Linked DNA regions of Mus musculus. The protein of the gene in region 5 interacts with the protein of the main gene of each other region in a biochemical or structural test. Links are inferred from orthologs where the notes say so. Each region holds a gene or a part of one and is shown on either strand. Other genes may lie near its edges. The genes, in order: Fgf6, Fgf4, Ncam1, Fgf8, Fgfr1, Nedd4 and Plcg1.

The links.
Region 1: the proteins of Fgfr1 (region 5) and Fgf6 interact in a biophysical measurement, tested with the Homo sapiens proteins (2 studies listed by BioGRID and IntAct, with this or other methods). The link is inferred for Mus musculus from reciprocal best matches to the Homo sapiens genes FGFR1 and FGF6.
Region 2: the proteins of Fgfr1 (region 5) and Fgf4 form a complex in vitro, tested with the Homo sapiens proteins (2 studies listed by BioGRID and IntAct, with this or other methods). The link is inferred for Mus musculus from reciprocal best matches to the Homo sapiens genes FGFR1 and FGF4.
Region 3: the proteins of Fgfr1 (region 5) and Ncam1 form a complex in vitro, tested with the Homo sapiens proteins (2 studies listed by BioGRID and IntAct). The link is inferred for Mus musculus from reciprocal best matches to the Homo sapiens genes FGFR1 and NCAM1.
Region 4: the proteins of Fgfr1 (region 5) and Fgf8 interact in a biophysical measurement, tested with the Homo sapiens proteins (2 studies listed by BioGRID and IntAct, with this or other methods). The link is inferred for Mus musculus from reciprocal best matches to the Homo sapiens genes FGFR1 and FGF8.
Region 6: the proteins of Fgfr1 (region 5) and Nedd4 form a complex in vitro, tested with the Homo sapiens proteins (2 studies listed by BioGRID and IntAct, with this or other methods). The link is inferred for Mus musculus from reciprocal best matches to the Homo sapiens genes FGFR1 and NEDD4.
Region 7: the proteins of Fgfr1 (region 5) and Plcg1 form a complex in vitro, tested with the Homo sapiens proteins (4 studies listed by BioGRID and IntAct, with this or other methods). The link is inferred for Mus musculus from reciprocal best matches to the Homo sapiens genes FGFR1 and PLCG1.

The regions. Positions count from the first base shown.
Region 1 is NC_000072.6:127,014,376-127,018,341, reverse strand, and holds the start of Fgf6 (fibroblast growth factor 6 precursor), read right to left. Parts: upstream 2,801-3,966; 5' UTR 2,757-2,800; coding exon 2,411-2,756; intron 1,349-2,410; coding exon 1,245-1,348; intron 1-1,244. UniProt on the Homo sapiens protein: Plays an important role in the regulation of cell proliferation, cell differentiation, angiogenesis and myogenesis, and is required for normal muscle regeneration.
Region 2 is NC_000073.6:144,859,967-144,864,185, forward strand, and holds the start of Fgf4 (fibroblast growth factor 4 precursor), read left to right. Parts: upstream 1-1,419; 5' UTR 1,420-1,538; coding exon 1,539-1,866; intron 1,867-2,265; coding exon 2,266-2,369; intron 2,370-2,798; coding exon 2,799-2,975; 3' UTR 2,976-4,219. UniProt on the Homo sapiens protein: Plays an important role in the regulation of embryonic development, cell proliferation, and cell differentiation. Required for normal limb and cardiac valve development during embryogenesis.
Region 3 is NC_000075.6:49,796,270-49,800,306, reverse strand, and holds the start of Ncam1 (neural cell adhesion molecule 1 isoform 3 precursor), read left to right. Parts: upstream 1-1,237; 5' UTR 1,238-1,577; coding exon 1,578-1,629; intron 1,630-4,037.
Region 4 is NC_000085.6:45,740,085-45,744,258, reverse strand, and holds the start of Fgf8 (fibroblast growth factor 8 isoform 2 precursor), read left to right. Parts: upstream 1-1,374; 5' UTR 1,375-1,574; coding exon 1,575-1,606; intron 1,607-1,706; coding exon 1,707-1,743; coding exon of another isoform or gene 1,744-1,935; intron 1,936-2,261; coding exon 2,262-2,348; intron 2,349-2,579; coding exon 2,580-2,760; intron 2,761-4,174. UniProt on the Homo sapiens protein: Plays an important role in the regulation of embryonic development, cell proliferation, cell differentiation and cell migration. Required for normal brain, eye, ear and limb development during embryogenesis.
Region 5 is NC_000074.6:25,556,759-25,560,258, forward strand, and holds part of Fgfr1 (fibroblast growth factor receptor 1 isoform 1 precursor), read left to right. Parts: intron 1-972; coding exon 973-1,062; intron 1,063-1,312; coding exon 1,313-1,485; intron 1,486-3,500. UniProt on the Homo sapiens protein: Tyrosine-protein kinase that acts as a cell-surface receptor for fibroblast growth factors and plays an essential role in the regulation of embryonic development, cell proliferation, differentiation and migration.
Region 6 is NC_000075.6:72,692,115-72,696,097, reverse strand, and holds the start of Nedd4 (E3 ubiquitin-protein ligase NEDD4), read right to left. Parts: upstream 2,801-3,983; 5' UTR 2,660-2,800; coding exon 1,232-2,659; intron 1-1,231. UniProt on the Homo sapiens protein: E3 ubiquitin-protein ligase which accepts ubiquitin from an E2 ubiquitin-conjugating enzyme in the form of a thioester and then directly transfers the ubiquitin to targeted substrates. Specifically ubiquitinates 'Lys-63' in target proteins.
Region 7 is NC_000068.7:160,758,810-160,762,309, forward strand, and holds part of Plcg1 (1-phosphatidylinositol 4,5-bisphosphate phosphodiesterase gamma-1), read left to right. Parts: intron 1-644; coding exon 645-741; intron 742-872; coding exon 873-1,097; intron 1,098-1,173; coding exon 1,174-1,322; intron 1,323-2,270; coding exon 2,271-2,385; intron 2,386-2,495; coding exon 2,496-2,657; intron 2,658-2,750; coding exon 2,751-2,839; intron 2,840-2,929; coding exon 2,930-3,114; intron 3,115-3,500. UniProt on the Homo sapiens protein: Mediates the production of the second messenger molecules diacylglycerol (DAG) and inositol 1,4,5-trisphosphate (IP3). Plays an important role in the regulation of intracellular signaling cascades.

The DNA.
Region 1 (3,966 bases), on a different chromosome or scaffold from region 5:
TCTGAAGCAGGTCCTAAAATTCCATGCATCTAGCAGATTACAAAGTGATGGGTGCACAGGAGCGCCCACAGAACGGTACTGGAGAAGCAATGGTTTTAGCTCACACCATAAGCCAACTTTGAGACACTTGCTCAAAAAGTTGGGAAGTAGACACCCTCTGACTAGCTCACTTTAGTCTTTTCCAGATATCCTTTGCTGAGAGATTTCCCTGGGGACCTAGCACTTGTCCCCGGTCAGCTCTTCCCTTTCTATCCCCTATCTTGTTCCCCCAAGTGACTGGAGAATCAGACTCTATGCTCTCTTCTAGTGCATCTGAGGTTCCTTTCTCTTTAGCCACTGCCCTCTCATGTTTTGGTGCTAGGGGCCGAACTTCCCTGCGTTCCCACACATATGAGATCTACCACTTACTAGATCCAGCTTCCTTACTTCTGTCTAAGACATAAAAATTTCATAGACTGTCTTTCCGACACATTTTGAAATAGGCCATGTTGCAGGCCGAGAGCCCTGGAAGTGAGTGGGGCAGAGAAAACAGAGGCCTTAGAGAACACAGTAAATGCTTGCCCTTACACCAGAGGAGAATTTGTCTCTTAGCATTGGTCCTCCCACAGTGGTCTATGGTGTAGAGAGGCGGGGTCCAGTGCCTTCTGGGAAGGTATGACAGAGGGAGATACTACCATAGACTATGGGATCAGAGACCAGAGGCTGTTAAACTCAGCTACAGTCTCTCATCACTAGTGAAGAGGAGAGATAGGCTCCTTCTACAGATCTGTACCTCTCCGACAGTGTCTCCTGAAGGGGTGTCATGGGGGCAGCTCACCCAGGCTGACCCACAGGCCTGCCTTTCTGGGGGTGTCATGGGGGGCAGCTCACCCAGGCTGACCCACAGGCCTGCCTTTCTAGGCCTCTCCAGTTCAGCAACTCAGACCTGATTATGAGCTTGAATGACAGTTTTGGTCAGAATGCAGGCTTCCCTACCCAAGAGCTCTCTGAACTATGGCTTCTTTAAGGGCAAAGGTCTCGGTTGTGGGTTGGAAGAACTACAGGCTTGTGCAGAGGTTTCACAGTGAAACAGAGGAAGTGTAAGCTTCAAGGCACCTTGCCAGCAAAAGCTCCTTTCGCAGCCCTTTCTAATTCTCAAAAAACAAAACCAAAACAAAATAAAACCCCCTCAACTCTCAGTGTTATATGTTTTCAATGGTGTGACCGGGAAGAACCCAGGAGCATCCCCTCACCGCAGAACTCACCGTTGTGTACAGTCTTCCTTTACTGTTCATGGCAATGAAGAGAGCACTCTTCACCCCGAAGAGGCTCACCACACCCCGTTCTACCGTGGAGATCTCCAGCAGGCCTGACGAGGAAACAGAGAACACACTCTCATGCTCACGTCAACCCGAGTACTTCAGAGGCATCCCGCTGTCCCCCTTCTCCAGAGGCTCCACCTCTCCATCACATCTGTCCTTGATCTAGACAGTCCTATAGCATCCCTACACGACACTAGCTGCATCCGGTCACATCCTGGTAGCACATTCAGTTCCTTGTGGAAAAGTTTTTACACTGGAGTTGGAGATTGCAACGGACACTCAAGCATCTATTTAAGATTAGCTTTGCATCTGGGCTTTCCGTAGATCTGTCACCTGAGGTTCTCGACTTGAAGGATTGGAGTGGGGGTTGGAGATATAGCTCAGTGGTACAGTACTTGCATGACATGTCCTGGGTCCCTGGGTTTAATTCTCAACAACACACACACACACACACACAAGCATACACATACACACACATACACACACACCACACACACTCACTCACTCACTCACTCACTCACTCACTCACTCAATCAATCAATCAATTTTGATTATTTAAAGTCTGTTCTACATCCTTCAACTCAGTCCCCAAACACTGCAGCTACACTGAGCCAGATGGCTTGTCTGGGACCCTACAGCCCTTACCCTGCCTTGGCCAGAATACTGTCAATGCAGGCACCTGAAGCATGGCACCAAGGAGATGCTTCAGACGGGCATTTTTCAGACTACTTGCCCTTCCCTTTCAAAAATGACAGCTGAATAGAAACTCATGGTTTTAACCAAGATAGAGTATCATAACTTATCTCCCCTACCAGAGTAGTTATAATTCTTCAGGAAGACCAGATCTGGACCACTAATACTGGAGTAATTAGGATCATTGATGGAGTTACCTGGGATGATGGTTAAGGACACCAAGATGCAAGTAAAGGTCTTACTGAGCCTGCACCTCTTTCTGGGCAGGGCAGGGTGAGATCAAACCATTTAAACGTTACCCAGCACATCTTCCCTTTAGAGTGCAGCCCCACCCACCAGCATAATTTCCCTTCATCTTTTGACTCTGCTTGTGCCCAAGCCAGCAAGCACCCCAACTATCTTCTAGTGACACTCACTGTAGGGGTTCTCCTCGTGTGTTCCACTGATGCGGCCGTCAGGAGGCACCTGGAGGTGGAAGCCAATGCCCACGTTGCAGTAGAGTCTCCGCTGTCGCTTAATGCCCACCAAATAGCCGCTTTCCCAATTCACACCCGAAATCTCTCCAGCTAGCCCAGCTCGAGACCTGGACAAGAGGGTGCCCCAGCCTCTGGAGTCCAGTAGCGTGCCGTTGGCGCGGGCGCCGGCAGGTGAGGGCACCACCATGCCCACTAGGACGCCTAAGAAGACGAGAGCCTGCAGCGTGCCCTGAACACGTCCTGCTCCCCGGGACATAGTGATGAACAGCCTCTGTCCCAGGGCCATCCACCTTGCCTCTCAGGCACGTGGTCAGAATTAATGGCCCTAAAAATACCGCCCTTCTTGTTTTTCTCCCCTCGGCATGGCGGCAGGGGCTTATTTTTGGAAGGCAGATGAAGGCTGCTGACATGAAACCAAAGCCTGCTTCAGGCACTCGGATTGAGAGCAGAAGGACCCAGGCTGAGCTGTGGCCGGTATAGACCATGGCGTGGGGACGTTCTCTAGCCGGCATGCAGGGCTCTGTCCCAAGGTGATTCTCTTTGATTTGACCTATAGTTCAGTAACCCGGCCCTCCCCTTCACCCATCACCACCCTGACGTCAGCCGGCCCAGCTCACTTACCCAGGGCTGTAACATTAACCTGCTCCTGGGCCTGGCTGCTTCCCCAGACCCTCACCACCCTCTCCAGTCCCCAGGGATTCTGAGAGCCACTGTCATTCCAGCTAGAGGCAGGAATGAAGTTAGCAGAGAGCATCTCTGCGGGAGGGTGGAGCTGGCTGGGGGCCCAGGGAAGAGGGAGGCAGAGGCCACCCAGGACCCAAATTGGGCAGTAGCCCTTGGCCCCACTGCACTGGCTTCCTTAGAGGGCAAAGGGTAAAGAAAGATGGGGAGGGCGTGATGGCAGGTGATGGATGGTGGCCTACAAGTGGCTCTCAAGACCTATTCATGGAAAGAGCTCATGGCAGAGAAGGGCCCATCTACCAGAACAGGGCATATTCTGTATTGGGCATATAGGAGAGGGTTTGTCCGGAGAAACGAGGGCTGTGGAGACAAGGAGGGATGGGTCACCTTCTCCTGCTCACCCTTTCTGGCCATGGTCTTCAGTGACAGTGGTATCAGGCTATCCCCCTGCTTCAGTTCACCATTGGCCTCTAATAGCATTCCCACTTAACAGTTGCAAAAGTCAAGTCACAAAGAAGTTACGTGGCTTGTCTGAATTACTGTGGGCAGGCAGTAAGTAGAAGGGTCAGAACCTGCAGATTCTGCACAGGTCCAGAGGCTGTTCAGGACATTGCTTATAAATAAATTTTCAAGGACCACCACGCATCTTCCTTATTATTCCTTCCTTATTATAAACCATTGAGCAATCGTTTCACCAAGACAAAACGTTCAAATTCATTGTGTGGTTGAAGATGCTGACCTTGATCTTCAGAACTTGTACAGCAGGAATGAGCGAACAAGCCTGGTTGTATGTGGTGCCGGGGATTGAACATGGG
Region 2 (4,219 bases), on a different chromosome or scaffold from region 5:
GGGCAATGATCTAGATCTGATCCAGCCTGGGCCCAGCCCCAGAAAGGAACACCCAGGAGTGCCCAGACTAAGGCCTGCAGCCCTCCTCCAGTGACACAGCAGGGGATCTAGGGAACCCTGTTACAGGAAGGGATGTTTCTCAGCAGGGTGTGTGTATGCATGCTTATGTGTGTACATCCATGAGTGTGTGTGTGTGTGTGTGTGTGTGCGCGCGCGCGCGCGTGTGTGCGTGCGCACACGTGTTCGTGGGAGCCTGTGCACAGCTGACTTTGCTCCCTAGCAAGCAAGGCCAGCAGCAGCTCTACCTGCCACTGGAGGATGCGGTTATCCCAGGCTGCCAGGTGCATCAGAATGCCTCATTAAGGGATTTGGAGACATGGTGTAATCCCCACTAAGGGATAGATAGATGCTCAAGTGTCTCCTCTAGGTCTCAGGACCTGGCTGCATTTCCGTTGGTGTTCTGAGTAGGACCAGGAATGATTGGTGCAAGCCCAATGACAGAGGTTTGGCAGAAGGAAGCCACAGCTCCCAGAAGCTCTGGTCCAAATTACTGATTCCTCGGTGAGGGGGTGCAGCAGGCTCTTCGGCTCCTCCATCAGTGGCCAGGTCACCTGCTGGCTCCAGGTTCCTCAGATACCACAGAACAGGGACATTCACACCTAGGAGAACAGTACCAGGGTTCTGCCCAGTTCACCCCCATCAGGCCAGAATGGCCACAGTTGGGTGTGGGGGTGCTGGTGGGGGAAGGGACCCTTCCAGATCCTTAGAGTTTGACATGCTCCTGGGTTGGGAAGTTCTGGCCTCCACACTTGAAAATCTCTGGGGAACTGATGCCCAATGTCTTGCCAGCTTTCTGTCCTTGCCTTGGGTTACCTAGGAGGAAAGTGCGGGTCTCTGCTGTCCCTGAATGTCCTCAACCTGAGTTCTCTTAGAAGCACCCACTCCGTAGTTTAGACTTCCCATCACCTGGAAGACCCTTAAATTTCCAAGCCTCTGGGGCCAGACCAAGCCTTGCCTCCCTCCCTCCGATCGTGCCCTACCTCCCGGCTCCCTTAGAGTTACACCCTGATAGCCAAGCCACAGTGTGACTTGCCTCCCACCGTCAGCTCAAGCCAGTCCTTGGCGCAGCAGAAAGGTTCTGGCGGTTCACCAAGTGTCCCGCAAGGAAGGAGCACAGGAGATGCCCTGGGGAGCAGAGAGCCAAGGGGCGGGATCAACAGGTTCGAGTGCGGGGCGGAGCCAAGAGTAAGGGGTTGGGGTCTCTCCAGGTGACAGTAGCCACCGCCAGGCCCGCGCCTCCTCCCCCGGCGGTGATTGGCAGGCGGCCTGCGCCCCGGCTCCCAGGCGACCGACGCCCCGCGGGGCAGGCGAGTAGGAGGGGGCGCCGGCTATATATACCACTGCTCCGGAGGGCTGGGCGCGCGGGGACTATCCCGCCACCGTTGCGTCCCTATTTGCTCTCGCTACTTAGGTCTGTGCGCAGCACTCACCGAACTCACGGCCCGCAGCTCGAACTCACGCACGGCCCGCGGGCCGGGATGGCGAAACGCGGGCCGACCACAGGGACGCTGCTGCCCAGGGTCCTGCTGGCCCTGGTGGTGGCCCTGGCGGACCGAGGGACCGCCGCACCCAACGGCACGCGGCACGCAGAATTGGGGCACGGCTGGGACGGCTTGGTGGCCCGCTCGCTGGCACGCCTGCCGGTGGCCGCGCAGCCCCCGCAGGCGGCGGTCCGCAGCGGCGCAGGGGACTACCTGCTGGGCCTCAAAAGGCTTCGGCGGCTCTACTGCAACGTGGGCATCGGATTCCACCTGCAGGTGCTGCCCGACGGCCGCATCGGTGGTGTGCACGCAGACACGAGGGACAGTGAGTTCTGGGCGCGCCGAGGGGATAGGGTCCCGGGCAGTAGTAGTCTCGGGGGCTGAGTAGAGTCGAGCTCCCACCCCTTGGGCTCCAGGACTGAGAGCGCACCCGGCGGCCGAGCCCCGCCTCCCGCCTTCGGAAGCCTGGTCTCTCGGTGCGGAATTCCATCGCCTTCACCCGCCCGCACCCACGGGAGCCCGGGACAAGCGCCCAGACTGAGGCTGGACTTGAGGGCCACCGGTAGACAGGAGATGAGCTCTTAAAGCTTGCTTTGGGGACCCTGGGCTTTTCACCCCAGCATCGAGATCCCAAGAGGCTTAGAGTCGGAGGGTCTGTGTGGGTCCAGGGTCACCTAGGCTTTTCTGACCTGCGATCCCTCCCCCCCAACCCCCGCCTCCCCAGGTCTTCTGGAGCTCTCTCCGGTGCAGCGAGGCGTGGTGAGCATCTTCGGAGTGGCCAGCCGGTTCTTCGTGGCCATGAGCAGCAGGGGCAAGCTCTTCGGTGTGGTGAGTGCCAGCGGGTCTGGCTGGGCCACCTGCTCGATACAGTGTGCAAGACTAGCGGGATTGTAAACCCTTCACCCCACACATACACTTGTGTGTTGGTCACAGAGGACTGGCAGTAGGATTGCCAGGTCTCACGTTTTCAGTCAAAGTAGCCAGAGCCAGGCTGGGTTTCTAGACCAAGGGAACTACCCCATCCAATTTCCTCCTGAGTGAGGTACTTACTGATTGGGGCGGGTGGGGCGGGGAGAGGGGTACTCCAGCAGGAGATATTAAGTTGATAGGGGCAAAGCAGGTGAGCTAGCTATGCCTAGCGTGGACTTATCACCTCTTCGAAATCTGGGACAGTTTTGACACTCCGCCTACCTAAGAAAGATCTCTTGGGTCCCGATTGCGGCAGGTCCCTGGCTCACCCAGTACCCTCTTTCCCAGCCTTTCTTTACCGACGAGTGTAAATTCAAAGAAATACTTCTGCCCAACAACTACAACGCCTACGAATCCTACGCGTACCCCGGTATGTTCATGGCCCTCAGTAAGAACGGGCGGACCAAGAAGGGGAACCGAGTGTCGCCTACCATGAAGGTAACCCACTTCCTTCCTAGACTGTGACCCTCCGGAGCCCTGCCTCAGCCTCGGAAGCACACCCTACCCCTCAGGAGGAGCACTTTCTCTCGATGGAGAATTGTTTGCAAAAAAACTGGTCTAAGATATTTAAATTATTTAAATATGTATATATGGACGCCCAATTATTTATAATTTTATGTATTCTCATTTTCGGGGGGGGGGATATGACCAAAAGAACAAACAAATTGCAGCTCAGACCTCTTTGGAATAGCGGAACAGACTTCTTTCTTCACTATCAAAGATATGGGTGTGATGCTGTTTCATGTGTGCCTCTAAAACTTGGTGACATCAGTTTCCAAGGGTGCCTGGCCTGTAACTGGAAAGGCCTGCCTGGGACCTCTGAGGCAGTGAGAAGGACCCTGAGCGTTCCCGATCGGGAGCATTCTGCCGTCGCCGCTCCCTCTGCTTCCTTTGGTATGAACCCTGTCGGATCGGTTTACTCCAGGGACAGAAGTCCTCCCGCCTCTGTTTTTAGATCTCCAAGACTGATCTTTGAACTCTCTTGCAGTCAATCATCTTCTTGGACCTACCGGATAGGAGACCCTTAGACAACTTTATAAACTCCTGTTTGCCATTTTTGGACTGGCCAACAGGGCACGTTGCTTGTAGCCACTGGAACTTTGCTTTTCTGGAGAGGAACTAGGAATGGACAAGAGGGTGTGTGCGCTCGCCACAACTCAAAACTCTGGGGATGAAATTCTGTTTTGTGATAGAGGATGATTTGTTGGGATATAACAATGTATTTTGCAAGAATCAAACTGAGAAAAACAGGCTTCCCTGAATATGGGAAGCTTTGTGCTGGAACTCCATAATTTAAGGGTGAGCTGCCCTTTCCCACCCCAGGCAGCCTTTATGCAGGCAGACTGCAGGAGTCCGAATTCCGGTGCTGCCCCAAGGTGAAGGAATTCTATCCCCATCTACCTCAGAGTTCCTGAGACCCTGGTGACTAAGCTGGAGGCTCTGCTGGGTGCATCTGCCTGCTTCTCTTCCACATGTAGTATCTGGACCCTTGTCACGTTCCAGCTATCTTTACCCAATGATTTACTTTTAGTAAGGGGTATTCATGGTGAAAATATGCACGACCAGCTGTCGGAGTGCACTATATGGTCACCAAGTCAAGTAACCCTTATATTTTTCTTTATATATTTTACGAATGTAACCCCTGTCACTGAGACCAAAATGGAAGAGCAGGGTCGGTGGCATTTAAAAAAAAGGGCTGAGGTGAGGGA
Region 3 (4,037 bases), on a different chromosome or scaffold from region 5:
AATTGTTTATAATCACCATAAGGCAAAAATTTAAAAAGTGAACATGAAAGATTCCTGGGAGACAGACTGCTTCTCATGGATCCTTGGAACCCGCAGCATGTGATAGGACTGGGTACATTATACAGAGGAAAGGAGAGCTGGATGGTGACTGGTCAGCTAGCAGAAGGTGGGTTTTCTGACTGCTAAAGCATCAAGGAGTCTGCCCTTTAAAGAACATTGCAGGGCTTGGGATTGTGTGTGAACTGGCTCTTTGGTCTGTCAGAGGGCTTCACTGAGCAGAGCCACTTCTGGAGCACCCTCACTTGTATTTCCTGCACAACTCAAGCCCCACTCAGGTGCTAAAGAGTGTTGATTTCACTATGTTCCCATCCCCTCTTTTAACAAACAAGGCTGCTTGATTAATGGAAGTCTTTGTGTTGATATCTCAGTCATATTGTATTTTCATAGCCTTAAGAGTGGAGGTCTCCCGCTGAAGGAGGATGCTTGCTGTCGCTCCTGTGCCTTAATACACACAGAAGAGCCAGGGCAAAGGAGGGAGAGAGAGGGAGGATCCCAATACCAGTTTCTGGTTATTCCTGAATATTACTTATAAATGGCTCTGCATTTTCTTTTGACTGGCTTCCCCACCCCCTACTTCTGAGATCTGAGTTGTGCTGCTGTGAGTTGCTCCCTCTGTGGGAAGATGAACTTCATAGCCAGGAGAAAACAAACAACAAAACAAACCTCCACAGCCCTCAGCTCTCTCCAAATTTCCAATTTCCTTCTCTTAGGAGGAAGAGGAAAAGAAGGAGAAGGAGGAGGAGGAGGAGGAGGAGGAGGAGGAGGAGGAGGAGGAGGAGAAGGAAAAGAAGGAAAAGAAGGAAAAGAAGGAGAAGAAGGAGAAGAAGGAGAAGAAGGAGAAGAAGGAGAAGAAGAAGAAGCAGAAGCAGCCATATGCTTTTTATTGCAAGGACTTTAGTAACTAAACTGGAGGGGGGGGTGTCCACAACTTTGAAAATCGAACCGAATCTAAAATTCTTTTTCCCCCTAATTATTAAAAACGTTCAAATTCCTGATTAAGGAACGCCGGAGGGCAGAATGATCTCCAAAGACGTGAATGAAGGAAAAGGGTGAAAAGAAATCCCAGCTCTGCCTGGAAGGTTCCCTGTGAAAGAGCCCGGCTCCCTTGGTAACTCCAGGCCGCGTTTTACAGGCAGCCGCATCTGCCTCCCCTGTCTCTTACCTCCTGGATGTTAGGAACTATTTGTGGTCGGCGTGGTGGAAGGACACAGTGAGGCTCTCACCTCCGCCCCCCGCCCGTCGCTCGCATCCCCAGTTCCATCAAAGCCAACCCGGGCCAGCGCAGGGATCTCCGAGTTGCGAGTGTGCTGAGGCTGGGACTGTCACTCATTCTCCGCTCAGCGCGTGAACGCAGCTCGGCAGTGGCTGGCAAGAAACAATTCTGCAAAAATAATCATACCCAGCCTGGCAATTGTCTGCTCCTCGGTCCATTGCTCCGCCGCCGTCCACAGTCGCTTGCAAGGGGAAGGCACTGAATTTACCGCGGCCAGAACATCCCTCCCAGCCGGCAGTTTACAATGCTGCGAACTAAGGATCTCATCTGGACTTTGTTTTTCCTGGGAACTGCAGGTACATTTTAATTTAATTTAATTAAAAAAAATCTACATCGGGTCTGTTAATTGTCCGCTTGCCCCTGTCTTCTCTCCCTATCCCCGAGAAGCCCGGTTCTTTTGGCTGGTTTTGTGTGTAAAGCAAAGACAGCATTTTCACTGAGCTGAGAAGGGAGCGCATCGTATCGTCCTTGCTTGGCCAGCCAAACCCGTGCCCTCCGGGACGGCGCTGGACGCGGCTGCCTCCCCGCTCAGTGGCGGCCGCGCACGCCCTTCCCACTTGTGTGCCCGCGGAGGTGGGACAGGGGTATGGGGACCGGGATGCTGCCGTGATGGGCAGCGCTGCTTTCCCCTTCCCCGAAGGCGGGTGGCGGATGCGTGGCTCGGGTGGTGTCGCCCCCCAGGCTCATCTTTCACCTAGAGGTGTTTGTCAAGCTTCGAGAAGAGTGAACAATAAGGCTGGGGCAGTTTTACCCCCACCGTTATGTCCCGGGCTGGGGTAAAGTGAGGCTTGCAGCCTTCGCTTACTCCCCCGTCTTCCCCGCCCCGAATAACGGTTTGCAAAATGGGGCAACCACCGGCAGCACCGCAGGGCCCTGTGGTCGTTCCTGCACCCCCGTGCAAATGACGTTAGTTTTTCATTTGCCAAATTGCTGGGTAGTTGCAAAACCTGCCCTCGGCCGGGAGCACGGAGGGATGGGAGGGTCCAGCGCCGCGTTTTGACAGGAGGAAGTGCAGAGGGGCGGAGGGTGAGGAGGGCGTGATCGGGGCTGCCTGGTTGTGTGTGTGTGCGCGCGCGTGTGCGCGCGTGTGCCTTTACACGCACCGAGAGCCTAGGGTTGCACGGTGCCAGCGAAGAATGGCAGGTAGCCAGCTGCCCAAGACACCTCTTCCTTTCTCTGGGCGATATTCCTGATCCTGGCAAAGTGTGAACAATGGGGAGCTCGGGAGAAAGACCGTAGCGACGCTGTCGCGGGTGGCGAGGGCTGTGCCACCGCCCAGAGATCCTTAGCATTCGGGAAGGGGGCGCATTGCATTTTGGCTATTTCCATCTCGGCTTTCCCTGGAAAATTCCTCAGTGTGCCCACCCTCCCTTCCAGCTGCTGCCCCTACCCCACCCAAGGATTTGTGCTTTGGCGTCCCAATGGACTGGGAGAGGGGGAAGCAAAGGGCACTGGGGCCGCCGAGAGCTGGGTGGGATGGGCCGACAGCTGGGGCGGGGGGGGGGCGTGTGCTGCCAAGCACCAGCTGAAAGCAGGCTAGGCGGAGGAGACCGCGCATGGCTGTGGCTTCTGCCTGGTGTGGCTGTACTGGTCCAGATCTCTAAGCCTTGGGTGTGGAGCCCACAGAGCGGCCCCGGGAGCACCCAGTGCGCCCCCCTCCGAGGGCAGCAAGAGAGCAGAGCTGGGCCACCGCCTCCAGCCAACTCTGATCGGCGACCAATCAGAGCGAGGCTGGCTGGGCGGGAAGCCGCGAGAGGCTTTTATTGCGGCGCGGGTGGCGCCCAAGCTGCCAGGATGGTCCCCGGGTGTTCTAGCTTAACGGTCTCGCTCGCCTCCCGTTGGGAGAGACCCCGCCCTGTTACTGCCCCTAGCTGCACGGCCGTTTTCGAGGACGTAAAATGGAGAAGGATAGGCCCTGGGACATCTCTTGGTCCAGCTAGCTTATTCTCGCCCACTCGTGCTTCTTTCTTGGCGCTTTGGAGCATTCAGGCTCCCTGTCCATGGCGCACAGTTGCGACGGAGCGCTTCGCTTGCGAGTGCAGAAGACAGCAGCTCCCAAGCTGTGTCCCGGAGAGCAGACGCGCCTGCGCTGACCCTCTGGCCAAGGACTAGACGCTGGGGTGGAGGGGCGTGGCGGGGTGTGGTAGGGCGTGTCTTGACAGGGCGTGCCAAATGGGTCCTCGCCACCACCAAGCCCTGGACTGGCAGAGGCGTGCCCTTCCCTGTGGTGCTGTGGGTGACCTCCTCTTAGGGTGTGTTTACTGAGACCATCCTTCTGGATAGCAGCATGACAATGGAGACCTAATCTTCCATGATGCGTCTTTTTAGGATCTCCTTGTGGTCTTCTCCATAATGGAGATGGGTGTAACCCTCAGTGTTCCTATCCTGGTGGGAGCTGAGGGAGGGAATCCTACAGTGGCGTGATACTGGATGCTCAGGCAAGACTGGCATCCTAACCAGTGTTCCCTGGAACGAAAGAATCCTTATTCTGCCCCTAAACCCAGGCGGCGAGGACGAAGAGAAAGAAGCACATACCAGCCTGTTTAACAAAAGAAAGTGGTTTTACAAAGAGAATTTTCAATTAAAGTATTGTTTTAACCAGCTTAAAAAAAAATCTAGAGAATTCAGACCAAAGGGTTTGGAAGGATATAAAAGAAGGATATATATGAATATCCCCCGTCATTAAGCTGCAAATGCTGTAGAG
Region 4 (4,174 bases), on a different chromosome or scaffold from region 5:
TTGCTCAGCACTTGAAGGGCTGAGATGGACTCCCCTAACCATATATATATATATATATATATATATATATATATATATATATATTACTCCGTGTTTGCATTTGCAAGATGGGATGCATAAAAGGGGGGCGGCAGGCCGAACCGGATGGGGACTGACAAGGGCCTGCTTGCCTCTCTTTAGCCTACAAAGACTTTCTGGGGCCACCGCAAACCCCTAGTTCTACCCCGGAGGCACAGAGGATCAGTAGAGGGGAGGCTGTGGATGAAGGCAGAGCTGGGTGGTACATCCACGGAGCCACCTGGTCTTCAAAAATACCTGGCCTGGGAAATCTCTGTGCCTGCGGTAACAAAATAGTGGCTCAGGGTTCCCAGAAACCCTATGGAGAAAGCAATGGGGCGACGGGCTTGAAAAGGCTTACAGAAGTCTCTACCTTCTCACCAGCACCTCCCTCTTCCAAGTGACACAAGACACCAGGTACCTGCTCAAGGAAAACCTGGAACTCAGAAGGGGAAAGGCTAGGCAGCTTGGGTCCGTGTCCTGAATGTTGCTGAACGTAGTTATTTTTGCCCCTGCTAATTGCTCAGAAGCAGTGGCTGTGGGTCCTTCAGAGACCCCTGAGCTCTTACCACATAGACGCTTCAAGGTTTTTCTTAAGCTTTATAGACTAGTGCAGTTGGATGGACAGGAGCAAGGCTGAAGGTGATAATGGGGTGGCAAGGGGCATTTCTCCCTCCCAGAGCCTCTTTGGAGACTGTGAGACAGAAAACCAGCGGGGTTGGGTTTTTAGAAAGGTGAAGGCACCGGGTTCCAGTGGCGCCCAAGGGGACGCTCAGCACCGGGGCCCAGTTCACTGTTAGCTGCAGGCTCCCAAGAGGGGCGCGTGCGACCGCAGCACACATTAGGCGACCCAGAGACCTTCTAGGAGGCCAGAGATAAGCAGACCCGACCCTAAGCAGATCAACAGTCCTGCAGGACTCAAGTGTACGGGACCCCACTAAACATGTTGTCCCAGACGCCCCCCAATCCCTGGACGATCCCGCCCCCGGAACGCTGGAAGAGACAGGCAAGGGTAGTGGGAGGCGCCCACACCAGCCGCCCCCGCCCCTCCCGCGGGTCCCTAGACCCCTCCCCTGGGCCAGACCCCCCAATCCCTGCTCTGCCCGCCGCCCCGCCCCCGGCCGCCCCGCCCCCGCCCCGGGCGGCGACCCGGCCCCAGCGCCCAGCCGGGGGTGCGGGCTCCGGCCGCCCGCCCCGCGCTCCCCCCTCGCGGCCGGTGCGGCGCCCCCCGCCCCTGCCCTCCCCCTCCCTTCCCACCTCCCCACCCACCCCACAGGCCCGTTACCCTCCCGCCTGCTCGGGCTCCTGAGCAGCCAGCGGCCACCGGCTCCAGCAGCGGCTCAGAGGGGTTCGGCGCGCGCGGCGAGCACGACATTCCACGAGCCGCGTCGGGATAGCCGCTGGCCTCCCGCACCCCGACCTCCCTCAGCCTCCGCACCTTCGGCTTGTCCCCCCGCGGCCTCCAGTGGGACGGCGTGACCCCGCTCGGGCTCTCAGTGCTCCCGGGGCCGCGCGCCATGGGCAGCCCCCGCTCCGCGCTGAGCTGCCTGTGAGTACCGCGGTCGCCCCCGCGTCCCCGTCGGCCAGCGCCCGCCGAGCCCTCTCCGCTCACCCCGCGCCTCTTTCCTGCCCGCTTTTGTCTCCCACAGGCTGTTGCACTTGCTGGTTCTCTGCCTCCAAGCCCAGGTAAGGAGCGCTGCGCAGAAGCGGGGGCCGGGCGCGGGGAACCCAGCTGACACTCTCGGGCAGGGACACGAGGACCGACCCTTCGGCCAGCGCAGCAGGGCTGGAAAGAACTTTACAAATCCAGCCCCAAACTACCCCGAGGAGGGATCTAAGGAACAGAGAGACAGTGTCCTGCCTAAAGTCACACAGCGAGTGAGTGGAGAGACTAGAACCCAAGGGTCTTGAGCCCAGCGACTGGCCAGTTCGGGTGGATGGGAAGGCTACCTGTAGCCACACCTGGCCTCCTAGGAAGGCGGGAGCTGGAGTCAGCGGGTGTTCCTTGTCAAGGGTAGTTGGGATGTAGTTGCAGCGAATATCCTCGCCGCTGCTCTCTGGGGAGACCTGTGGCCGGTTTGGGCCAACGATCGTGTTAACCTAGGCCCTTTGCATTCTCAACATTTGCTCCGTAAATTTGTCTTTATAAATGTCACGGGTCGGGTAGCGTTGCCTCGCTACTTAAAAGCACCCTGCTCCTCTAGGAAGGCCCGGGCGGGGGGCCTGCGCTGGGCAGGGAGCCCACTTCCCTGCTCCGAGCTGGCCGGGAGCCCCAGGGTGTTTCCCAACAGGTGGGTCCAGACTCCCTCATTCCCGGGTTCATCCATCCATCCTGGGCTGGGTCTGCGCGACTTCCCCGAGGGGGTTGGTGGCCTGAGCCGGCATGTTGTGGGGATGCCCCCAGTCCCCGCTGGCTGCCTGGCGCGGCGGGAGGCGGGTACAAGGGCAATGGGGACCAACTCGGGGCCCCTGGGCGGAGTAGCGTTATAATGGCGTGCTGTGTATTTTTCAATTTCCTAAAGGTAACTGTTCAGTCCTCACCTAATTTTACACAGCATGTGAGGGAGCAGAGCCTGGTGACGGATCAGCTCAGCCGCCGCCTCATCCGGACCTACCAGCTCTACAGCCGCACCAGCGGGAAGCACGTGCAGGTCCTGGCCAACAAGCGCATCAACGCCATGGCAGAAGACGGAGACCCCTTCGGTAAGGTGCATTCCCGGACCCTGGAGAGGAGAGGTAGCTTGGACCTCGCCGCCCCTTGCCAGCCCCAGCTGCATCAGCCAGAAAGGCCTGCGGGCTCTCCACCTGAGAAGGGAAGGAGTTAAGACGAAAAGGTGCCTTGGGGTCAGCTGGAGAGAATAGTGGGGAAGGGACCCTGGGGAGGACGAGGCCAACAGGTGCCCTCTCTTCCCTGCTCCGCAAATGAATGAATCCAGGAGTCTCCCTTACAATCTTCACACACCTCTACCCGGCTGCAGGTGGAGGCAGAGGGTTCAGAGGAGAGGCCCAAATTTAAGGGGAGTTCTTGAAAGAGGATATGTCGCCAGGGCCCACAAAAGGAGAGTGGGAAAAAGAAAGTAGAGAAATCCCCCAGTTCGCCCAGTTTGAAAAAGGGACAGAACTGCTAACTGATCAGAAGGGTCAATTGCACAGGGAGACTCGGCCTGCAAGTTAGACTCCGGGCTCCACTGTGGATACCCCAGGGGACTGAGTCGGCTGGCGGCTTCCCGCAGGGCTGCTGAGTACAGGGAGCTACTGGGGCAGGGGCTGAGAACTGATTGATTTCTACAACATTCAATATTCTTGTCTTGAAATGGGGCCAATTTCCAGACTCCTTGGATGTACCACAAGGAAGCCAAACCCTCAGGGTGGCTGGTGTTGTTTTTAGAGAGTGGGATATTGTAAGTTTAAAAACCTTTAAATAATGACCAACTTAAGCGAGCATGAAAGGAGAAAGGAAAACTCTATTAAAATGTAATAAAAAGGTGAGGCATTTTAAGAGCTAAGAAGAAAAATGGAGAATGATATAAAACAGAAAAAGAACCAGGCGTTTTCTTTTTCAGATGTAGAGTTTGAAAGGAGTTGCAAGTCTGTAAATGTTAAAAAGAGAGAGAGAGAGAGGCTCAGGATTGTTCTCTGCGAATCTCTGGAGAGACCCCCGCGTCTGGCAGAGCGATTAAAACTATTCTTACTTTCACCTTTTTTAACGTTTCCTGAATACTTTCTCCTCTTCTCGAGCCAGTTTGGGGGATCGAGTATGTCTCGCTGCATTTTTTTTTCAGCATCGACATAGCTGACTTCCCTTCAAAGCTAGAGGAGGAGACATAATTTTCCTGGGATAAATCTGTCACTGGGGTGGAAGAATAGGTTCGAAAATGTTAAGCTTTCCAAAAGCCTGCTTGGGAAAGTCTCTGTAAACTACACGGCCAGGCTCCCCTGATCGATCCGAGGAGACCAGAGGGGGGGACTCTTTGGGTGGGGGTGGGGGCAGCCTGCCTGGTGGCCGAGCTCCCCCCGCTGGGCTGGCAGAGCTGGCCTTCAGGCCCTTTGTCCCTCCAAATTGGCTGCTTGCTGCCCTTCTCGGCTTCCCAACAAGAAAAAGGAAAGAATGCCGAGC
Region 5 (3,500 bases):
CGGGTGCTGGGATTAAAGAAGCTACTGAACATAGCCTGTATTTACACAAAGTGCATCCCATTTGGGGAGTGAGGCTAGCTATAGCCGGCATAGTAGTGTACACCTTTAGTCCCTGCACTCTACAGGATGTATGTTTTTGAGTTTTGTTTTTGAAGCCAGCCTTGTCTACATCTCTACATCATGAGACACCCTGTCTTAAAACATCCACCAAAAAGGCAGCTCTGGGGCAGGAGAGATTGCCCAGCTGTTAAGAGAGCCTGACACTCTTGTAGAGTGGAATTGGTTGCCAGCATTCACATAGCTTGTTTACAGTTGCCTGTAACTTCAGGTCCTGGGGATCTGGCACCCCGTTCTGGCCCACCCGCCTTGGGCTCCTGCATACACATGGGACATACTCACACAGGCTCATATAGATACATATAAGTTTTAAAAACAATAAGACATCTTTGGGGGAAAGAGAGAGAGAGAGAAAGGAAAGCAGGCAGCTCCAGCCCTCAGGAAACTCATTCCAGAAGATTCTGATTGCAGGCTGGTCAGCCGGAGGCTTTAGAAGTAGCCTCAAGGCCCAGGTGTCTAGATCTGCCTGGGTTTCTCAAAGGCTGATGTCCAGAGAATACTGATTCCTCAGCTGCTGTTATGGATACCCAAGTGGTACTGTTAGCTGAGTGGCCTTGGTGTATAGGCTGGAATTAAATAAATTTGGGGGAAAAAAAGGAGCTGGCCCTGATAGAGCCATCTGAACTTTTAGGCAGAAGGCAGTGCGCTGGGGCCGGGATGAGCACTGGAGCACACAGCTCTTAAACACAAACTGTCACTGAGGCAAAATTCAGGAAAATTGGGAGTCCTTATGGGACGGCTGTTGCGTTATCCATGTCACCGCGTTGACCGCAGTGAGGTGGTCTGTCTAGACAGGGCGAATGCTGTTTGGATGGAGGTCTAGACGCTCCTCAGTCCCCCTCCTTCCTCTCACAGATGCACTCCCATCCTCGGAAGATGATGACGACGACGATGACTCCTCCTCGGAGGAGAAAGAGACGGACAACACCAAACCAAACCGTAGGCGTGAGACACTGTTTTCTATCTTACTGCCTTCGAGACTGGGAGCTGGGACTTAGAGGAAGGCCTGGCTAAAGTGGGAGGAGAGAGGCTCAGAGGGCCTGGGGGCCATGGTGCCTGGTTGCTGCCTCTCTAGAAGACCTAGGGTACTTACTGAACAGGTAGACGGGAGGCATGGGGTCCTGCCTGGGCCCTGGCTTCTGAGCCTGGCCGCCCCTGCTGCCCTCATTCGTCTCCTTTGGCTTTTCCTGTACAGCTGTAGCTCCCTACTGGACATCCCCAGAGAAAATGGAGAAGAAACTGCATGCGGTGCCCGCTGCCAAGACGGTGAAGTTCAAGTGCCCGTCGAGTGGGACACCCAACCCCACTCTGCGCTGGTTGAAAAATGGCAAAGAGTTTAAGCCTGACCACCGAATTGGAGGCTACAAGGTACGCGTGTGTACATACCAAAGAAAAGTTAGAGTAAGGCGCTAGAGCGGGGACTGGGATAGCAAGTCTCTATTATCTGCTATGATTACTTTGGGTTTTGTTGTTGTTTTGGTTGCCTTTGTAAAGGTGAGATTTTGTTGTTGTTGTTTTAGTTTAAAGTTTATTTTATAATGGTTTCACGTGTATGTATGTGTGTGTGTATGTATGTGTGTGTGTGTGTATATATGTATGTATGTGCCACATGTGTGCCTAATGCCTACAGAGGTCTGAAGAGGGTGTCAGATTCCTGGGAATTGCAGTGTTTTGATTTTTACTACTTTAGAATTTTTTTATTTGCGGGAGGATATGCATATGTGGAGATCAGAGGAAAACTGGGAGGACTCAGTTCTCCTTCACCTAGGTGGGTCCTGAATATCGCTCTCAGGTCAGCAGGCTTGGTCACAAGTCCCTTTCTTTACCAGTTGAGTCACCTTACAGGCCACCATTCACCCTCCCCTCCCTCCCTCTTCTCTTCCTTTCTCTCTCTCCCTCCCTCCCTTTGGTTTTTGAGACAGGGTCTCACTCTCTCCTTAGCTCTGCCTGGCCTAGAACTCACTATGCAGACCAGGCTGCCCTCAGGCTCACAGAGATCCACCTGCCTCTGCAATCCGGGCCCTAGGATAAAAGAGGGGCGTGTGCCACCACGACTGGTCCTCTTGTGCACTTTTAAAGGACCTTTCTCAGGACCGATTCCTGGAAGTGGAATTGTCAGATCCGACGGGGTAGATCTGTTTTAAGCTCTTAGTGCCCATAATCCATTTCCCTCTCTCCCATGCCTTTCCCCAGTGCTTCCGCTTCCCTGTTGGGTGTTAGAAGCCTGCACTGTTGAGTTTCATCTTCAGCCCCCAAGTCCTAAAAGGAAAAACCAGTCACCTTCCGTAACAGAATATTCGAATGACAGACTCACTAGACATTTGCCAAGAAGTACAGCTGGGTGAACACGTTTGTGTTGCTTTTTGATACCATTAGGCACTTCCTATGCTGATAAGCTGCTTCCTCTCCCTCCGGGGGGTCAAGTCCTTTGTATTTGTAGGAAGAACATTTTGATGAGAATCTCTTCCTTAGAGATCTGATGAGTCTCCAAGGTCCCCAAATATGTCTCTTTTCTCATACCTTTTTAACTTTTTTTTTACTGTGTTCCTTCTCTATGTGCCCCAGACTGGCCTGAACTTCCATTGCTGCTCCTGTCTTAGCCTTCCATGTGCTGAGATCACAGAGATGTGCCACCATGCATGGCTGTTCATTGCTCCTGTATAAGAAAAGTGAGAGGGGATGGCTGGAGAGGCAGCTTAGTGATTAAGCAGATAGCACTCTACTCTGGTCCAGAGGACCAGAGTCTGGTTTCCAGCACTCACCTCGGGCAACTCACCACCACCTATAACTCCAGCTTCAGGGTTTCTGTGGACACCTACACTCACATGTGCGCGCACACACACCCACACACACCCACACACACACACACACACACACACACACAATCTTTTTCTTTCTCTATTCATTATTAATTATTTGTTCTCCCCGCTCCCACCCCCAATCAGGGTTTCTCTGTGTAGCTCTGGCTGGCCTAGAACTAGCTCTATAGATCCGGCTGGCCTGGAATTCAGAGATCTGCCTGTCTCTGCCTCTTGAGTACTGGGATTAAAAGTGTTCACCACCACCAGTTCTTTTTCTCCTTCCTTCCTTCCTTCCTTCCTTCCTTCCTTCCTTCCTTCCTTCCTTCCTTCCTTCCTTCCTTCCTTCCTTCCTTCCTTCCTTCCTTTTTTAAAGAAAGAATATGGGGAAAGCTTTACCTGGCCTTACTTACCAAGTCCTTTTGTTTGCAAGTTAGGATTTTGTAACCACATCTGAAGGCGACTGTCAAAGGGCAGCTGTGGTAAGCAGCCTGCAGGGGGAGCTCCTCCATGCAAGAGCACGGGAAGGAGGAGGACGGGTCTGACCAGAGTCAACTAGAAGCAACGGGGGTTTCTGTGTGATAT
Region 6 (3,983 bases), on a different chromosome or scaffold from region 5:
AACTTCTTAGGTTTCTTTGAATGTAGACTCTGTGAGTAACATCGACTGAATTGGCAGAGTACTAATGCTGCTTTAAGGACCCAGCACTTTGGGGAAGAGAATTAAACCGATTATAATGTTCCAAAAACTGTTTTAGAAAAATTTTGCAAGTGGAATGAATAACTCTAAAACAAAGATCAAACTTTGAAATCTAATCTTCTCTTATCCCCAGTGAAGTAGCTGCGTAGATTAACCTTGGGTGGACACAATGATTATATTTTCCAGATTTCAAAAGAGAGAAAAAAGAGCCCAATTACCTAATTTTCTAACTCCATCTGTCTAGACATTATCTGGATTCCCCCCACACTCCTCCAACATTTAATACAGGCATTGCCATGAAAAGAAGCAAGGTCCCTTCACAAGAAAGAAATAGAGCACGCCAGCCAGCATATGTGTTGTCAATCTAGAGCTAATGTCGTCAGAAAAACAATTAAATTTCCTGGAATTTTGCAAAACCTTCCAAATACAGACATGGTAAAGGCTACTTTAGTTTTAAAGATTGTAAATAATTTGAAAAGGCCAAATTACATAAAATGCCAATCTGGCTAAGATCTGTTAGAGCTAAATTACTAATAAAATAAAGCAACATTGTGAGAACAATAAACTAGTGTAGTAAATTGAAAATTATAGAAACTACCTAGTACGTTTAAGCCAATTCAAACACATAAAACTTAGAAATCAATACTGCTGAAAAAGTGAGTTACATTTTGGGAGACAGCGATCACTGGGAACTCAGGAAAAATAGGGTGCAAACAGCATTCCTGTGGCTAGGGTGTATGTAAATGCAAAGCCCACTTACTTTTCCTCTGCTTGAAACATTCAATATAATAGTCTTTTTGATCAGCGATCTTACAAATACATGTGTTTTAAGAGGGAGAAGAAAATCCCATTTCTGAAGGTAAGAAGAACAAATATCCCAAGATCGAGTGTTATGACATCGAGCCAGTTCTGGAAGAATTTTAGGATTTAAATCACCAAGGAAAGGTTTTTTTGGTTTTTTTTTTGTTTGTTTGTTTTAAAAGTAGTTTATCCATTGGTAAAATAAGAAAGAGCTTTACAAATATAAAATTGAAGCTTTCTAAAAACTTCCTCACTAAGGGCCACAGAAAGGAACAGATAGTGCTATAATCAAGTATAATCAGTATAGCTAAGAATTCCAGGAAGTATTTTTTCAAGACCAGAGGAATCTTACCTTACAAACATCAGACAGTTCATTTGTCAAGTCTCTCTGTCTCCAGAAACTATCAACTTTACCATCATTCCCAGATGCAAACTTAATGAGCAACTGAGATGGTCCCCCCTTTGAACAATTGTGCTTCAGGCTGGATAAGCAGGAAATATTTGGGTATGTCCCACCCAGCGAAACACTTCTTTGCAAAGCAGCATGGCCTTTGCTTATCGGTGAATTTGGTCTTTCCAACTCTCCACGGATGTTTAAATGGTAACCCATGTCTGATGCGGTTGGCAAGCAAGGGGATGCCCTCTGTTTGAGCATGCCATGGTCCAAATCAGACTGCAGCTGAAGTTCTAACCTCTCTGATGTGCAGCCACCACGGGGGTTTGCACAATCTGATGTCGTTGGTTTTTGTTGGGTCAAGTGCACGGAAACACAGGAAAATCCTTCTGGCAACTTCTCACACACAGTTTGTTTGGGCCTATTATTTGAAATGACAATTTTCTTTTGCAATGAGCCCTTGGCATGGAGTGGCCGTACATCTCTGACTTCTCCAGGAGTACAAACCATTTTAGATAATCGAAGCCCGTTGACAGCTGTTGACAGAAAGCCTTTGGTGCCAGATCCATCTTCATGATGTGCAGTTTCAGTAGGTGATACAACCAACTGGTGTGAGGTCTGGTAGGCACCTCTGCTCGTCGGGGATGCTGGTGGGGTGTTTGAAGGACTCCTGGGGAAAATGACCAAAGACGTGCAGCGCTTCAGTGGACCCTTTGCGTTCCTACTCACTGGCAGTTTCATAATCTCTACTCCACGATCCAGGTCCTCCTGGGCAAAGGGAAGTCTACTGGGACTTCCGCACATAACTTCACGGGGTGTAGTGTCGACTGGCACGCTTCTGTTGGAGGCGTTGTCAGAAGGTAAATTTCCACTGAAAAAGGTCTCATAGCCACTACTGTCGCTGACACCACTGCCGGTGGAGGAGCCTCCACTTGCGAGGCTTGCACAAGACCCACAGTCACTGCCACTGCTGCTGTAAGACCCACTGTCACTGGCTGAGAAGTTACTGAGGCTGCCATTGTCCAGCTCACTGTCAATTCCACTGCTGCTGCAAACATCATCCTTTGAAGCACAGGTAGAGGAAGTACTGTCCCTATCAGCCACGACAGTGTCAGATGGAAGACACCCTCCGTATCTGGGCTGCAGTGAGATCTGCAGGCAGCTGCTCTTTTTGTCAGTACTTTCAGAGGATCTATGCTCTACCCACGGAGCCTGTGGCGCCTGTCTGGGGGTCAGCCTCATTTGAACCACACTAGCCACTGAGATCCGGGGCCGCCTCTGGCCGTGTGTGTCAACGTGGCTATCCAAGTCATCTCCAGAGGGTTCCGACAGAGGGTAAGTCTTGCTTCTTCTGGCGGCAAAGTGCAGTCGTAAACTCTGTGCCATTTGTTCTCATTTCCAAGCATGTTCAGGGCTGAGAGTCAAAACAAAGAGCTCTGTCTGTAGTCAGGCTAGCGCAGCTGTGCTGCATCCAGAGGAAAAAACCATCGGCGGTGTTGAAAAAGCTCGTGGGGAGGCGTCTTTAACTTCAGATACCAGATTTCATAGAAAAGGACGACCCATGCCCGAGATTGACGTTCCCCAAGTGTCTAGAATCGCCGGGAGTCAGAACGCCTTCACTGACAAAGCACTTGATTTCCAGCGACCTTTAAGCTGAGCTCAGCTGCAGCCCTGACTCAAACACAGCCAACCTTGTTTCAATTATACCTTCGCCAATTTGCATGAATGAGTAACGCAAGAACAACAAGCTTCTTCAATTTCAACTGGGAAACCTAGTTTTTCACCCCAGCCCTACAAAACGAACATTTAACTCCCGAAATCTCAGTGCCTACAACTTCCCCCGGTGATCCTCACCGCTAATATTTTCACTGAATGCTATAGGATTACAGGAAATGGGTACAAATAAAACCTGTGTGATTGAGTATCAAATTAAAGATTGAATTTCAAAATATGGCCATACTGAGAGATTTAGTCAGGTTTAATGCAGGGACTACGCGGACTGTAATATTTTTTCAGGAATGAGTAAATGAAAACAGCTGAATAACTTGGAAATACAAAAACGTGGGGTGAGGGGCATAAAGCCTAACCGTCAAATTGAACAAGGTAAATATTTTAGCAAAACACAATTATGAAAGTGAAAGTTGACAAACTGAACTACAAAACGAGCCCAGTAACATTGTTGTAAACACCAAATAACCTCCTCAAGGGGAAATTTTTAAAAAAAGGCTGAGGAGAAGCTGTCACCAACCATTTTGTCCTGTAATTTTAACGTTTAATGCAGCCAAGTAGTACAGTCTTTAAATGATGCCATTTATATTTTGACTATTAAAATCCTGCCAAGAAATAGCCTGGGTAAACATTCCATTAAAAACATATGCAGATTAGACAGAAAAGCTACACCCCAATATAGTCTGAACACATTGGATATTTTATTCCACTGTGTGCAATTCATTCACTTAAAGAGAGTGTTGTGGTAAGTAAAGAAGCCTAAAAAGGATTTAACACATCAAATAAACATATCTCAATGGCAATCCTGTTCTCGGAGAGTCCTCTGCGGGCCCTACTGGTGCTTTAAAACAACCCAGGCAGCTGTTAGACACCTATAAAGACAAGACATACAAACCAGGCCACATATTTCATAATATAAACAAGGCAGGCCCTTGTTTACATCTTTGCCCACTAGCATGGCCTCTGAGGTAGAATTACGAGT
Region 7 (3,500 bases), on a different chromosome or scaffold from region 5:
CACAATGCTGAGGATTTTGTTAGTGTGCCCCGGAGGGCAAGGTACTGAAAGATCCAGTGGCTGGCAGGCTAGACCCTGCCTGGATTTAGCCTGGAATGAAAAGAAAGATTATAAATAGTGGAGCCCCTGAAGGAGAAGACTACAAAGAACAGTGTGGGGAGTGCCTGAGTAGGCTGCAGCTAAGATCGGGAACGGGAGGAGGAAGGCTGCATTGGCCATGGGGACGTGAGATGGTAAGGTCGTCTAAGGCACACACATTGCCAGGTGGGCTTAAGGCCTTAGTGCTTCAGGGAACCGGGAAGCAGTGTTTTTGCTGAAGGACGAGGCTAGGTAAAGAATAATCAGAAAGCATTATTGGGAGGGCCTTGCCGACCTTAGCTCCATGTGAGGTCATTTGGCACTTAAGTTATGGTGAGACTTCCACCCCAAGAGGGTTGGGGAACAAGTGTATCTGTGGAGACGAAGAAAGAGATAATTTTTGGCCAAAACTGGGAGCCAGTAGTTTTGTTTAGTGTCTGCTGCTATTTAAAATGTGCAAGGAGAGAAGAGGGCCTCAGAACACCTGAAGTGTGTGTGTACCCAAGGCTGGTAGGAGCTTCCTTCTCCTGGGCAGGGCTCAGCCTGGGCCTTGTGTGTGTCACCAGCTCACTGAGGGAAAGATGATGGAGAGGAGGAAGAAGATCGCCTTGGAGCTCTCCGAGCTTGTGGTCTACTGCCGGCCCGTTCCCTTTGATGAAGAGAGTAAGGCTGGGGCCAGGTGTGGTGTGCATGTGCTGAGGGGCTGGTGGCTTGAGAGTGGCGTTTAATACCCTGTCCCTTACATACACTACACAAGGGGGCCGCTCTATACACGCTCTCACTGTTTGGCTCAGAGATTGGCACAGAACGTGCTTGTTACCGGGACATGTCCTCCTTTCCGGAAACCAAGGCTGAGAAGTATGTGAACAAGGCCAAAGGCAAGAAGTTCCTCCAGTACAACCGGCTGCAGCTCTCGCGCATCTACCCTAAGGGCCAGAGGCTAGACTCCTCCAATTATGACCCTCTGCCCATGTGGATCTGCGGTAGCCAGCTTGTAGCACTCAATTTCCAGACCCCAGGTGAGGGGGTCTCTGTGGGTGGGGAGAGACACTTAGGGCAGTTCCACTGGAGCACACTGTAATCCCACTCTTGCAGACAAGCCTATGCAGATGAACCAGGCCCTCTTCATGGCTGGTGGGCATTGTGGCTATGTGCTGCAGCCAAGCACCATGAGAGACGAAGCCTTTGACCCCTTTGATAAGAGCAGTCTCCGAGGTCTGGAACCCTGTGTCATTTGCATTGAGGTGAGTATATTTGTCTGGGTTCTTCAGGGTGGGAAAGGGTTATGAAGACCATTGATACTAAACCTGCTAAGAAGGTGGCGACCAGGTGGGTCAGCACAAGTGGGAAAGGGTACAGGGCCAGAGGTGAGCAGCATTTCTGCTTTACATTGGGGAAGAGAACTTATCTTGGTCTATTCCTGAGCTTGAAGTAGGACCACCTGAAGTGGAAATCCAGCTACAGGTTCTCTGTGAGGTTGGGATCCCAGGGGTAGCATGGCTGATCATGGCCAGTTTTTGGCACAAATGAGTTAGGATGTCGGGTTAAAGCTAACCTGTGAAAAGTCACTACCTGGAAGGAAAAACCTGGTCAGAATGACACAAATCAGGCTAAAAGGGGCCTGTGCTGAGCCAGGCTCCTGTCTGCAGGACCAAGCAAAACCTGAGCTTGCTAGAGCATGACCAGCAGCCTGTTTGCCTTTCCCAGTTCCTAGAATAGAGCTCCCCAGTCCATGTCTGGTGAAATGCTGTGATCAAGGGTCAGCTCAGCCTTCGCTATGGGAATCAGCAGGGGTGGCCTGAACAGTCTGGAAAGAGTAAGAATAGTCTATGGCCAGCTGAGCACACTTAGGAGCACAGAGCCACAGATGGACATGACTGCTACTTTCCAGATATTCCCTCTAAAGTGGAATAATTTAAAAGATTCCCACATTGGAACAGACATGGATTTAACATGAAATGGACTGCCAAGTACGCATGATACTTAGCTAAAGCTCAGGGTTTTACAGCCAACAGCTTGCTCTGGAGTGAACAATGAGCGGCCTAATGGGCAGCACCTTCAGGGCCCAGCAGGGGGCATACTGCCTCCATGGTGCATTTTCCTCCACGATTTGCTCCCCAAGCTTCTGCTGGGAGGATGTTCGGGGTGCTGGGGGGATGTCATCACCCCATCTCTGCCTGCCTGCCTCACAGGTGCTGGGGGCCAGGCATCTGCCGAAGAATGGCCGGGGTATTGTGTGTCCTTTTGTGGAGATTGAGGTGGCTGGGGCTGAGTACGACAGCACCAAGCAAAAGACGGAGTTTGTAGGTAAGTCAGTCTTCCCTCATTACCCATCATTCCCCTGGGGTGTTAAAGACCTCTCCACCAGTCATCACATCCCGTAGATGTGGCCTCAGCTTTTGCCCTTGCTTTCACAGTGGACAACGGACTGAACCCTGTGTGGCCTGCTAAGCCCTTCCACTTCCAGATCAGTAACCCAGAGTTTGCCTTTCTGCGCTTTGTGGTGTATGAGGAAGACATGTTTAGTGACCAGAACTTCTTGGCTCAGGCTACTTTCCCAGTAAAAGGCCTGAAGACAGGTGAGGAATCTTCCTTATAAAGTCTTGCTGTCAGGATGGGGCTTATCCACTTGCTTGACACTTGATAGGCTGAGAGCCAGGTATTTCTCTTAGGATATAGAGCAGTGCCTTTGAAGAACAACTACAGTGAAGACCTGGAGTTGGCCTCCCTGCTCATCAAGATTGACATTTTCCCTGCTAAGGTAACTACAGCAGCGTGAGCAGAGAGTTCAGTCATAGCCCCTGAGATGCAGAAGAGACCTCAACTTTTGTGCACTTCCCTTGCTGAGCAGGAGAACGGTGACCTCAGTCCTTTCAGTGGCATATCCCTAAGGGAACGGGCCTCAGATGCCTCCAGCCAGCTGTTCCATGTCCGGGCCCGGGAAGGGTCCTTTGAAGCCAGATACCAGCAGCCATTTGAAGATTTCCGCATCTCGCAGGAGCATCTAGCAGACCATTTTGACAGTCGGGAACGAAGGTGAGGGAGATGAGGGGAAGTTAGCCAGTGTGGGACCTTGGAGGAAGGGTGCTGGAGCCAGAAAGATCAATCCTTTGGCAGCTTTCTCCTCTGTGGAAAAGGGATAACCGTGTGTCTTGGGTTGTCCTGTCTGGCTGCAAGGCCAGTAAGGACACTTCACTTCTGTTCAGGGCCCCAAGAAGGACTCGGGTCAATGGAGACAACCGCCTCTAGTCAGACCCCACCTAGTTGGAGAGCAGCAGGTGCTGTCCACCTGTGGAATGCCATGAACTGGGTTCTCTGGGAGCTGTCTACTGTAAAGCCTTCTTGGTCTCACAGCCTGGAGCCTGGATTCCAGCAGTGAAGGCTAGACAAAACCAAGCCATTAATGATATGTATTGTTTTGG